3 linked regions of the Macaca mulatta genome follow. The protein of the gene in region 2 interacts with the protein of the main gene of each other region in a pairwise test. Links are inferred from orthologs where the notes say so. Each region holds a gene or a part of one and is shown on either strand. Other genes may lie near its edges.

The links.
Region 1: the proteins of FAM9B (region 2) and CDC42EP4 interact in binary tests that used the Homo sapiens proteins (3 or more experiments, as listed by UniProt). The two-hybrid records come from large-scale screens. The link is inferred for Macaca mulatta from reciprocal best matches to the Homo sapiens genes FAM9B and CDC42EP4.
Region 3: the proteins of FAM9B (region 2) and PIN4 interact in binary tests that used the Homo sapiens proteins (3 or more experiments, as listed by UniProt). The two-hybrid records come from large-scale screens. The link is inferred for Macaca mulatta from reciprocal best matches to the Homo sapiens genes FAM9B and PIN4.

What each region holds. Positions count from the first base shown.
Region 1 is NC_133421.1:82,962,420-82,966,167, reverse strand, and holds the start of CDC42EP4 (cdc42 effector protein 4), read left to right. Parts: upstream 1-1,362; 5' UTR 1,363-1,465; intron 1,466-1,848; exon of another isoform or gene 1,849-2,473; intron 2,474-3,748. UniProt on the Homo sapiens protein: Probably involved in the organization of the actin cytoskeleton. May act downstream of CDC42 to induce actin filament assembly leading to cell shape changes. Induces pseudopodia formation, when overexpressed in fibroblasts.
Region 2 is NC_133426.1:8,564,984-8,568,631, forward strand, and holds part of FAM9B (protein FAM9B), read right to left. Parts: intron 2,840-3,648; coding exon 2,740-2,839; intron 1,894-2,739; coding exon 1,782-1,893; intron 405-1,781; coding exon 306-404; intron 1-305. UniProt on the Homo sapiens protein: May play a role in meiosis.
Region 3 is NC_133426.1:78,727,718-78,731,465, reverse strand, and holds the start of PIN4 (peptidyl-prolyl cis-trans isomerase NIMA-interacting 4), read right to left. Parts: upstream 2,588-3,748; 5' UTR 2,559-2,587; coding exon 2,516-2,558; intron 1-2,515.

The sequences.
Region 1 (3,748 bases), on a different chromosome or scaffold from region 2:
GAATTTGATTTTCCTTTCTTTTTTCTTTTTTTCTTTTTAGAGATGGAGTCTCCCTCTGTCACCCAGGCTAGAGTGCAATAGCACAATCTCGGCTCACTGTAACCTCCGCCTCCCGGGTTCAAGCGATTCTCCTGCTTCAGCCTCCCGAGTAGCTGGGATTACAGGCGTCCACCACCACGCCCTGCTAATTTTTGTATTTTTAGTAGAGATAGGGTTTCACCATGTTGGCCAGGCTGGTCTCAAACTCCCGACCTCAAGTGATGCACTTGCCTTGGCCTCCCAAAATGCTAGGATTACAGGCATGAGCCACTGTGTCCAGCCCAGAATTTAATTTTCACAGCAGGATGGAGTGGTCAGACCATCAGATCTCAAAAGCTGGTTGCTGTCGCACTGCAGAGGGAAACGGAAATGTGCAGTCCCCAGAAAGCAGAATGTCCCTGAGGGCTTAGTGACCTTGAAGCCGTAGGGAAAGTCTGGGGCCTCCACCCTCACTTCCTTTAAAAACCGAGGTTGGGGTTTAGCTAGAGGCAAGGGAACTTTTCACTTTGCACCTTGTCCACTTTCTTTTAGTTGACTACTTCGCAGCTGGCATTGTACCTTGATAATGATCATTTCAACTGAAACTATTCCTCTAAAAAGAATGGAGTCCAAGGCCTGGGAGTTGGATTCAGGCTCTGGGACTCAGGAGTTGATCTCCTTGACGTTCACCTGGAGCAAATTTAGCCTCAGCTGATACTTAGGAGGCAAAGGCACAGACTTGGGGATGCGGGGAGCTCAAGGGCTGTCACCCTGTAGAAACCCTGCTGACGCCCAGTTCAGGCCTGGCCTCGGGGCTGGCCGGCTCCTCCTTGCTCCCTCGTTTCCAGCGAGAGTCTGGGATGGCACCCACAAAGCTGGTGGCGTCAGCCCTCCTGCCCCCAACTCCCAACAGTACTGGAGCCAGGTGGTTAGCAGGTCCGGGAGGGAGCAAGAACGAGGGACGCCACCTGGGCTGGAGTTCTTGGTTTCCTGTCCTGGCTCGAATGGGGAAGAGCCTTAAGAGAGCCTCGCGCCAGGCCCCCGGAGGGAGCCGCGCCCCTGGCCCTGGGGGCCCCTGTGGGGGTTCGCGGCCGGAGCGCAGGCTGGGCCGGGGTGTCTCCCGGAAGCCGGGCTGGCCCAGGCTGCCCCATATGGAGTTGGGAAAGTCTCAGGCTTTCGGTTTGAACCTAGGAGGCCGAGCAGCCGGGCAGAGGTTCCCGACGGCCATTGGCTGCGGCGGCGCCGTGACATCAGCGCGGAGGGGTGCTCGGGGAGGGCGCGGGCGGAGCCTGGAAGGGGAGTGTCCTGGCGGCTCCCAGCCCTGAAAGCCCGAGAGCCAGAGGGAAACAAACGCCGGCGCTGACAGGGGCCGCTACCCCCGCCGCCGCGCGGAGCCCACAGAGGAGACAGCGCAGCTGGGTCGGCGCTCGGGTCCCCGGGGACCGAGGTAGGCGACGGGTACCCGCCTCTGGCTGTGGTAGCCGCCTTCGCGCTGGGTGCTCAGGGTGGGCTTGGGGGGGCTCGAGCCCCCCTGTGGGGCAGAGAGGATCCAAGCTAGGGATGCGAGGCCGCGGCGCGGGGAGAGGGGCGCGGAGTCCCCACTTCTCGGCGCTCGCGCTTCTCTCCGCACCCGCCGCGGTGACTGGGACCCGGAGACGCGCACCCAGTGTCCTGGCAGAGCGGGATGTGCGGAGGAGGGGGTGGCAGGGAGCCGGGCGCAGCGTCGCCGGGACTCGATTTCCTTTCTACGCTGGAACTCTTGGGCTTGGCCGAGGGCGCCGCTGGGCGGGTTGGGGGCTGGTTTTAAAGGGCCTCCCCCTTCCCAGGAATGGGGTGTGTGTCGGTGTGGGCAGGAGGGCAGCAATCGGCGGCGCGCGGCCCGCGATCTCCGCGAGGGGGGCGTGTGTGCGCCCGGAGTTCTCCATGAATAAGAACCGAATTCTCCGCCTGAGCAGAGGCGTGTACACATCTCGCTCTCGTACACACACTGCAGCACACGCCACCCAATGTCACGCGGCCGGGGAGCCAGCGGGAAGGAGCTGTCTGGAAGGGAATGGCCAAAGGAACAAATGCTTCCCCGTTCCCCCACTCCCGCCCCGCGAACCCTTCCCTTCCCCGCCAGGATCCCGCCCCGCCCGCTCCCTCGGAAGCCCGGGAGGTCGAGGCGCCTCCCGGCGGGGTGCAGGGGGAGAGCAGTCGAGCCGCCTGTCCCTTTGGAGCCCGAGAGGCTGCTGCGCACGGGGCCGGTGCACCCAGAGCTCAGCGCGCTCCGCGGGGTCGCTGGCGGGAGCGGTTGGTTAATGATTTAATCGCCCGCTTGGGGCGGGTGCGCGCGGAACGGCCGTCCCTGGCCCCGCCCCCTCCCCGGAGCGCCCCCAGCCGGGGTTACAAAACTGCCCCCTCCCTCCGGCACGTCCCCTAGGAGCCGTCCTGCCCGCGGGGATCCGGTCAGTCGGTGAGTGCCCAGGCCAGGAGGGCTGGAGAGCTGGGCGGGAGCCGGGGCTGAGGCTGAGCCGGCTTCCTGGGAGAGGACTGAAGTGCGTGTGTGTGTGTGTGTGTGTGAGAGCAAGAGAGCGAGCGAGCGAGCGAGAGGGACTGGGGGAGGGGTGCTCTCTGCTAACTCAAACCAGGTTGCCTGTGTTTTCCCAGTGACTGCGGCCTGGGCTTTGGAAGTTTTCTTTTTCTCCCTGGGAGAATGGAGGGGAAATACAATGCCTTTTCTTTTCTTGCTGCCTCTGGAACTTCTCTCTCTCCACGACTCCCACCCCTTGCAATCTGACCAGCTCCCACATCTCTTACTGGGTGCCCGGTGCCCACTGTTTGCCCAGATAGCTGAGCAGCTGGATCCGGGTGGAGTCCTCGGGAGCCCCTTCGCTGCGAAGCCCCCTGCTCTCCCCGGAGGGGCCCGTGTGCTGGAGGGAAAATCTCTCGTCCGAAACCAGCAGCCATCTGGACCAGAGAAAGGTCCCATCCAGCGAGTGTAAACAATGAGGGGCCGGTGACAGGGGCCTCCTGCAAGGCAACTTCTTTGGCAGTCTGGGTTTCCAATAACTCCCGCAGCCCCCGCCCCCTTCTGAGGCTAGGGTGGAGGAGGGACCACCAGCAGGATGGACTGAATTTTAAGAGAACAAAGAACAGGCCACAAAGGAAGGGATTGCTGAGCTGCGGATTTCTCCCAGAAATCGGGAGTTGGCTGGGACTGAGCCAGGCCCTGAGAGAACCCCTGGCAGCCCCAGGGGCTCCTGGAGCAATAATGGGGCATCCACCAGGATCTCCTGAGGCTCTATCTCTGCTGGGAAGCCAGAGCCTGCTGAATGCGGGGGTGCCCTGCCGGTTCCTGCTCTCACCAACTACCCTGTGTGAGCTGCCCGTGTGACTGACTGATTAGTGGGGTGGTTTATCTCCTCTGAACTTGGACTTTGCCTCTCCACTCCTTGAAGACAGCTGCTCCTTCCCACAAGGGGGGGAGTTCAGTGAATTTGGGGAGATCCCAAGTAGATTCCCAGGCATCCTGGTAGACCCCTGCAGGGACTAGGAGGGGGCCACTGTGATCCTATGGGTGGTGGTTCTGGGGTGAGTCTCAGCGCCTCCCCTCTGAAATCTCCCTGAAGTCCTAGGGTCCCTGCCACTGAGGGCAGTTTGCTCCTGCTCTGCGGTACAGCCTAGGCCTGTACTATGAACGATTCTTCCATTTCTTGGGGTTTCTGCCTCTCTCTTTTTACATTCCTCT
Region 2 (3,648 bases):
ACCTCTGGCATAAATAAGTTAATGTGTTAATAAAGTGTCAATTTTATACATAAGATGTATATTTCTAGGTAAAATTTCCACTTTACCTTTTCCTGTTCTAAATAACTCCTACAAACTATTCATGAATCCTAAAAATACATTTACCAATACTATTATATCTGGAACAATACATTCAAAGTGAAAATGGTAAGTAATTTAAAATGTATAACCAAAATGTCTTTCCATACATTCAGAAACAAGCAGACTTTCTTCCATTATGCACGTGGTGTATTTTATAATGTATTATGTTACCAAATAGAACAGACCTTTAAGAATTGGTCACGTAGCAGCTTCATCTCTTTCAGCCTCTCTCTCCTAACACTTCTATATTGCTGCCACCTCTTCTGTTGTTCTTGAAATATTTTCTAGAATCCCACAACAAAATAGTGATAAAAATTGGGTAAATTTTAATACTTACAAAACACAATTCTCCATTAGCTTTAAAGGAATACTCTTTAAATCAATACTTCTGAACACTTTCTTTTAGACAACATTTAGGACCAATTTTAAACAATCGTGTTCGCCAATCACATGCTAAAAATGATGTATTAACCTTTTTCATCAGTCATTAAGTAAATAATTTTCTTACTTTCACATATTCAACACGTATGTCCTAATTTCTTGATTTCCAATGAAGAATATTTGATGAACCTTCCTACAATTTGTTGACCACAGATAGGTAAGATCTATACAGAAATTAACTAAGACACATTCTTTCTAGGATTTTAAGCATGTATTAAATCTTGGTCATTTCAATAGGCACATAGATGAACCACCCAATAATGATGGCCTTTCTGCACCTTGACTTAATCTCCAACAACAGTGTTCTCCTCTCCTCTACGTGGCACTCACTCGCACAGTCATCCCCTAGATTTTGTCATTCCCAATGACTGCAACACCTATGTAATATTAATAATAGCAATGATAAGGAGCAACCATGGGTCAGATCACATCCTGAAAAACTTAAATAAACCCGTTACATAGAAACCTTTTGATCCTCCAACAACTCTGATGTAGGTACTCTTACCATGTCTCCTTTCGTAGATAATTTGCCCGTGGTTTCTGAGCTAGCAATGGTCAAGCTGAGATAAATAATTTTTCCACGGTTTCCGAGCTAGCACAGAGATAAATAATTTTTCCGTGGTTTCTGAGCTAGCAACGGTCAAGCTGGAGTTGGATCCCAAGCAGTGTGGCTGCATAGTCCCAGCCCTTGAACCACTGTAGTCAGCTGTTTCTCCATCTTCCCAACATACAGCCACTACCTCCCTGCCATTGTAGGTCACTCACTTCAGTACTATAGCTCAGGAGTCTGTCGAGACCTGACACCCACTGAATGGAGCACTGTTTACTGCCCATTGCCCACCCCATGTGCTCGGGTAACTCAGTCCCAGCTGAAATTCCACAGCCAGTCATCTATCCTCATCCCTGCATCTATTCCCTGCCCAACTCTCCCTCTGTCAATCTGCTCGGCTAGACCCCAACCCAGGAAATTCCAACCCTACAGCTGCTCTTACACAAATACTCCAACTGGGCTCACTTCAATTTCTTCATCGTTACGATGCTGACTTCAGTTGGACCCCTAATGCTGCATGGCAATTATATTCCCCTGGTATATGAGTCCACTAACGGGCCCCCTCTCTGGGCTCATGCACTCTTCCTTCTTTGCTGAATTTCTGCATGAACAATTACTCCCTGAGACATTGATACAACACGTTAAACATAAAGCTAAGCCTGATACCAACAATTAGTTCTTCTTCTTCTCCCTCTTCTTCTTCTTCTTCTTTCTGCTCATCTGTGATGTATTCTTCAAGGACATTCAGCAACTTCAGAGAATGTATATAATCACGTTTCTGCCTGTAACACATAATAAGTAACACGGTCAAACTTCATAGAGAGATGAAAAATTAATCCTATTCAAACCTAAACTGACTTGACATAATTTATCCTATAAAGTAGCAAGGGAGTAATAGTAGCTGAAATCTTCTTTTTGGAAAAAGGTGAAATGAGTTGCTCTCATTCTGAAAGGATTCCTTCCTTCCTGACTACTAGAGCAGCTATCTTATATTCTTTACCTGCTGAAGACAAAGGAGGGTTTACTGCACTATAAGTTTCCCAGAAACATTCATTTTCTCTAAGAGCAGTTTACTTTTCATTTCCTTTTACTGAATAACATATGGGTTCTCATAAGTAGGTTCAAGAATATCATAGCCATTCATCCCGTAAGATTTCCCAGAAGAAATGCTTCACTTAACTATTTCTCCACTTTGGCACACCAATGGTTTTGTAAAAGAAATAGTGAAAACAATTTAACTAAAATAGATAACTTATTTACAACATAAGGTTATCCCTTTCTACATAATTCAGTATTGTTAAGGATCTACAGACTAAACATTGAGAACATTTATCTTATATGCAGCTACCATATTTCTAGAAATGGATAAACATTAATTTTACAGGAAGACTATTTTTATCTGGAAGGCAAAAAGAGGTCATCTTCATTGACTTCTAGGTAATATCTCTTGATTCTGTTAAACTGAGGTTATAAAACTAAAGAAACTTACCTGCTTAGAGAACAATCAAGTAAAATATGTTGTTCACTAGAGACGCCAATATGTACAGGGTAGTTTTTGAAATTATTTGCACCAACGAATACAAAGAAATGATATAAATATCATTACGCGAGAAAGCCAACAGTCATACCTTTTAAGTTGTTTTTTTCTCAAAGCATTTTTACTTTTGTTCTTTGTTTTGCTGCAAGCTTTATCCATTTTCATCCTTTTTCTTTTTGCAGTAAGATCCTCTTTAATGTCAGTTAGTAAATGAAAATGGATTAAAAGTTAATGTTGAAAAGTAGTTTATTTGCATATACTGACATCAATATGGGACATTATGGTTCAGCAATACAAGAAGGATATTTAAAATATAAAATTCAAAAATCATTTCAAAAAGCAAGATTTACTCACTTATTTTCTGTAAAACATTTCAGGTATTAATATTCGTATTTCAATTCCAATTTGTATAACTGAAAATCACTTAATTGACGGATGATGAAAAAAAGCAAATAATTAAAAGTTTCTATTTTTTAAATGTGCAGAAAGGGTTATAAGCACAGACTTTAATTTCTACATTTACAAAATGTCCTACAATTCAAAGGAGATGTTTCCATGAAATACTGCACAACTCATTATGTAAAGCACACAAAAAAGTATCATATAGTAAAACCATCCAAAGGGTAGAAATAAGTTAATACACAGTAAGAAAAGCATTTTTAAGCAATCTAGTGATTGATGCTATTAACTGTATTTTAATAAAAGAAGCCATGGCCATGAGTATGAAAATTTAGGTTTAGGTAAAGAAATACACTCAAAAACACTTTTAAAATATTTTCTTGCAGCTTTTTATATGACATTTGTGCCCATAGTGCTGTGTTTCAGAAAACTGTAATACTGCAAGGAATGCTTTCCTAAACATGATTTCACATCAGAGACCTACCATCAATTGCTAAAAACAGTTTTCAGCAATCATAAAAGATTTGTACCATAATGCAAATATTTTTTACATACAGTCTCCATCTATAACGCCCAATGTATTAGGCAGCTCACAAAACCA
Region 3 (3,748 bases), about 70 Mb from region 2:
TCCAGCTTTCTCATGTCTCATTCCCACAGTACTGGCTCTCTGACTTCACAGAACCTCCCCCTCGACCCCAGTCCCTTTGTCCTGCTACATTCACCTAGACCACCAGACCTCTTTTCACCTTCCCACTCTGGACCCCATGCTCGTTCATCTGAACTGCATTCCCACTGGCCCTTGTAATTCCCTTGTGTTGCTATCGTCCTATCATAACTGCCTAACAAAACCTCAACCACGGCTTAAGGCTGCACCTAGCTCTTTTCAATCCTATATTGTGCCAGTTGCATGGTACCACGTAAATCAGACTGTGAATATTATGTAGTCTACAAATTCATGGCCTTTGATCTCAGTCAGGCTCCTAGCCCTGAGGGCACTTCTTTTACTTTTGTTTCATTCCATCTCCCATTACAATATTCCAGACCTTTATCACTCTCCTCAAGATGCCTACTGACTCCCTGCCCCTCCATCTCCTTTCCTATGACCTCAAGCATAAGGTGTCCCTGCTCCCCTTAGGTCCTGGATTCCATTTTCTCCTAAATCTCACTCCTCTGTACCTTTACCTCTTTTACTTTACTGGATCCTTCAGCTTCACTCCCAAGTTTTCCCCATTCCAAAGAAGCAAAGAAAATAAAACTTTCTCTTAATCCTCTGTCCTCCTCTATCTACCATCCCATTTCCATGCTTTTCAATTAAAACTTTTCAAGAAGTCCAAATTACCACTTCCCAGTCAGTTCTATAGTCACTGCAATCTGGCTTTTGTTTCACTGAAATCACTTTTACCCAAGGCCACCTCTAATTTCCAAATCTGCCGTGCTTGATAGACTATACCCTCTCTCTTTAAAACATTCTGGTCTCTCCTGCCTCTGGCCACCATTCTGCACTCCCTCTATCTGTCTGCCTTTCTCTGCCTGTCCTAGATCACATCCTCTGCTCTCTGCTCTTTTAATTCTATAAACTCACCATGGATAACTGCATACACTCTAATGGGCGCAACTACCATCTATAAGTTAATGACTCCTAAAACTTACATGTACAGTCTAGACCTCTCCCTCAAACTTCAGACTCAAATATTCAACCACTTCCTGACTACATCTCCACTGAGATGTCCCACAGACACCTCAAAGCCAATCTATCTGAAAGTGAATTCATCAGTCTCATCCCTGCTCCTCATGTATCCTTGATGTTAGCCTGCAGGACCTGCAACAGGTTAGAAATCCAATCCAGAAAACAGAATGATCGTTGATCCTCCCTCACCACCCCTCCCCAACCCAATAAATCACTAAGTCTTGACTATTTCACATCCTAATGTTTACAGAATCTTTTCTCTTTTCTCAGTTCCCACAGCCACTGCCTTAGGTCAGTCCACCATCATCTCTCACCAAGACTACCACAACAATCTCCTTACAGGTCTTTCTGATCCTTAACAGTCCTTTTTAGCACCACATATAGCACTCTCCATGATCTGGTCTCTGTTTCTGTTTTCATTCTCACCACTTGCCATTCTGCCTTGAGTTTTTGCTCCAGCAACACTACACTGCTCACATCATGCTGTTTCCCACCTCAGTGCTTTTGCTGCTGGACCCCAAGTTAGGAATGCTTTAACCTACCCTCAATGCTCATCTTGACCTCTGCCTAATTCGTCTCCAGGAAGCCCTGTTCCCCAGCTAAATGAAGCACTTCTCTCAATTTCTATTATATCCCATACACATCCCTCAACACTACATTTAGTACAGTGCTTTATGATCACTAAGCCTTTATCTTCGGGAGCTCCTTAAGGCCAAAATCTTTTTTTTTTTTTTTTTTTTTTGAGACAGAGGCTCGCACTGTCGCCCAGGCTGGAGTGCAGTGGCACGATCTCGGTTCAATTGCAACCTCTGCCTCCTGGGTTTAAGCGATTCTCCTGCCTCAGCCTCCCGAGTAGCTGGGATTACAGGCGTGCACCACCATGCCTGGCGAATTTTTGTATTTTTAGTAGAGACGGGGTTTCGCCATGTTGGCCAGGTTGGTCTCGAACTTCTGACCTCGTGATCCACTCTCCCTCGGCCTCCCAAAGTGCTGGGATTATAGGCGTGAGCCACCGCACCCAGCCCTCTGTCTTATTTTTATATCCTCAGCGCTTAGCACTGTGCCTGGCACATTTCTGTTCAATGGATGAATGATTCCTTCCCCGATGGAGGGCATGTCATTCTGTAAGCACTAAAGTGAACTTTAAGGACCATAATCAATGTGTACTTCTTATTACTGGCTTTTGATAAGACCCAATTTTAGAGCTCTAATAACCCCTCAAAATAGCAGCCCTAAAGTCATCGCCTCCGAGGAACTATCCCCACCAGATTCCATTACCCATCAGGGCGCTCCCTGAACCGTAGCCCAATGTATTCCTACAGATGGAATCGATGGGGCCACTGTGGGGCCACTGGCTACCTGCTGCATTCGTCCCGGACTCCGGAGATGGACTGTCTGTTCCCTCCCTTCGCTCCTCACCCGCCCCCATTCTCCTGGATCGCTCTGGCCGCTCTACCTTTCCCCGCTTTTCCAGAACCACTTTTTCCTTTGGGCGGCATCTTGGAAGCTTGTTGTTGAACTCTGAACTACTCCAGTTGCCGTTCAAGCCCCCTTACACCGCCATGGGCATGTCCTAAACAAATGCCTGAAAGCCGCATCTCAATTGACCGTTCTTATTGAGGCTCCGGAAGCAGGCACAGCTCGGGGCAGACCCTGTCCTTTGGCTCTTGGACCAATGGGGCTGAAGATGTCTGACCAATAAGACGCTTCGGGCCGAAACAAAGGCGGAGGGGCGGAGACAAAGGCCGGATTAGGGCGGGAAGCCCCGCCTCTGCGCTTTTTGTGACTTCTTTCACGCACCGTAATTTGCACCAGATCCCCCACTCCCCACGCTCTACCCCCGAAACCTCCAAGCTTTTTTCACGCTTGCGCAGTAGGAGCCGCGGGGGCCTCTGCAGTCCCTCGGCGCCAGCTCTGGCCAATCCCGCGGGGCCGCCAGACGAAGGGAAGCAGGAGGAACAGTGGTGGCGGCTAACTTCTGCTGTCTCCTCCTACACATAGGGTTGTCCGCCCTGGCAGTTTTTCGTTTGTTAATTTTATTCTGCAGTTGTAGCTAATTGGGTTCAAAAGGTAGTTTTTTAAAAAGCCTGTTACCCTTTTGCCTCTTGCAGAGCTCAGTCATGGAGAAACATTGGAAGCAGTCTTAAGTGCTCCTCAGTCGGGTACTGCTTAAATAATGTTTTAGCCACACAAAAATATATTATACAACATTCAAAATAACGGTTTTGAACAGATAGGGGAAATGTTTTTTTTTTTTTTTTTTTTTTGAGAGGAGTCTCGCTTTGTTGCCCAGGCTGGAGTGCAGTGGCCGGATCTCGGCTCACTGCAAGCTCCGCCTCCCGGGTTTACGCCATTCTCCTGCCTCAGCCTCCCGAGTAGCTGGGACTATAGGCGCCCACCACCTCGCCCGGCTAGTTTTTTTGTATTTTTTAGTAGAGACGGGGTTTCACCGTGTTAGCCAGGATGGTCTCGATCTCCTGACCTCGTGATCCACCCATCTCGGCCTTCCAAAGTGCTGGGATTACAGGCTTGAGCCACCGCGCCCGGCCTGGGGAAATGTTTTTAAGACCAAGATAAAGAATATGATTCCTTGTAAAAGAAGTATATGTAATGCACTGTATGGTATATGAATATAAAGGAGAGGAAAGCTATACAGCAAGATGTGGCCAGTGGTGCTACATACAGGTCA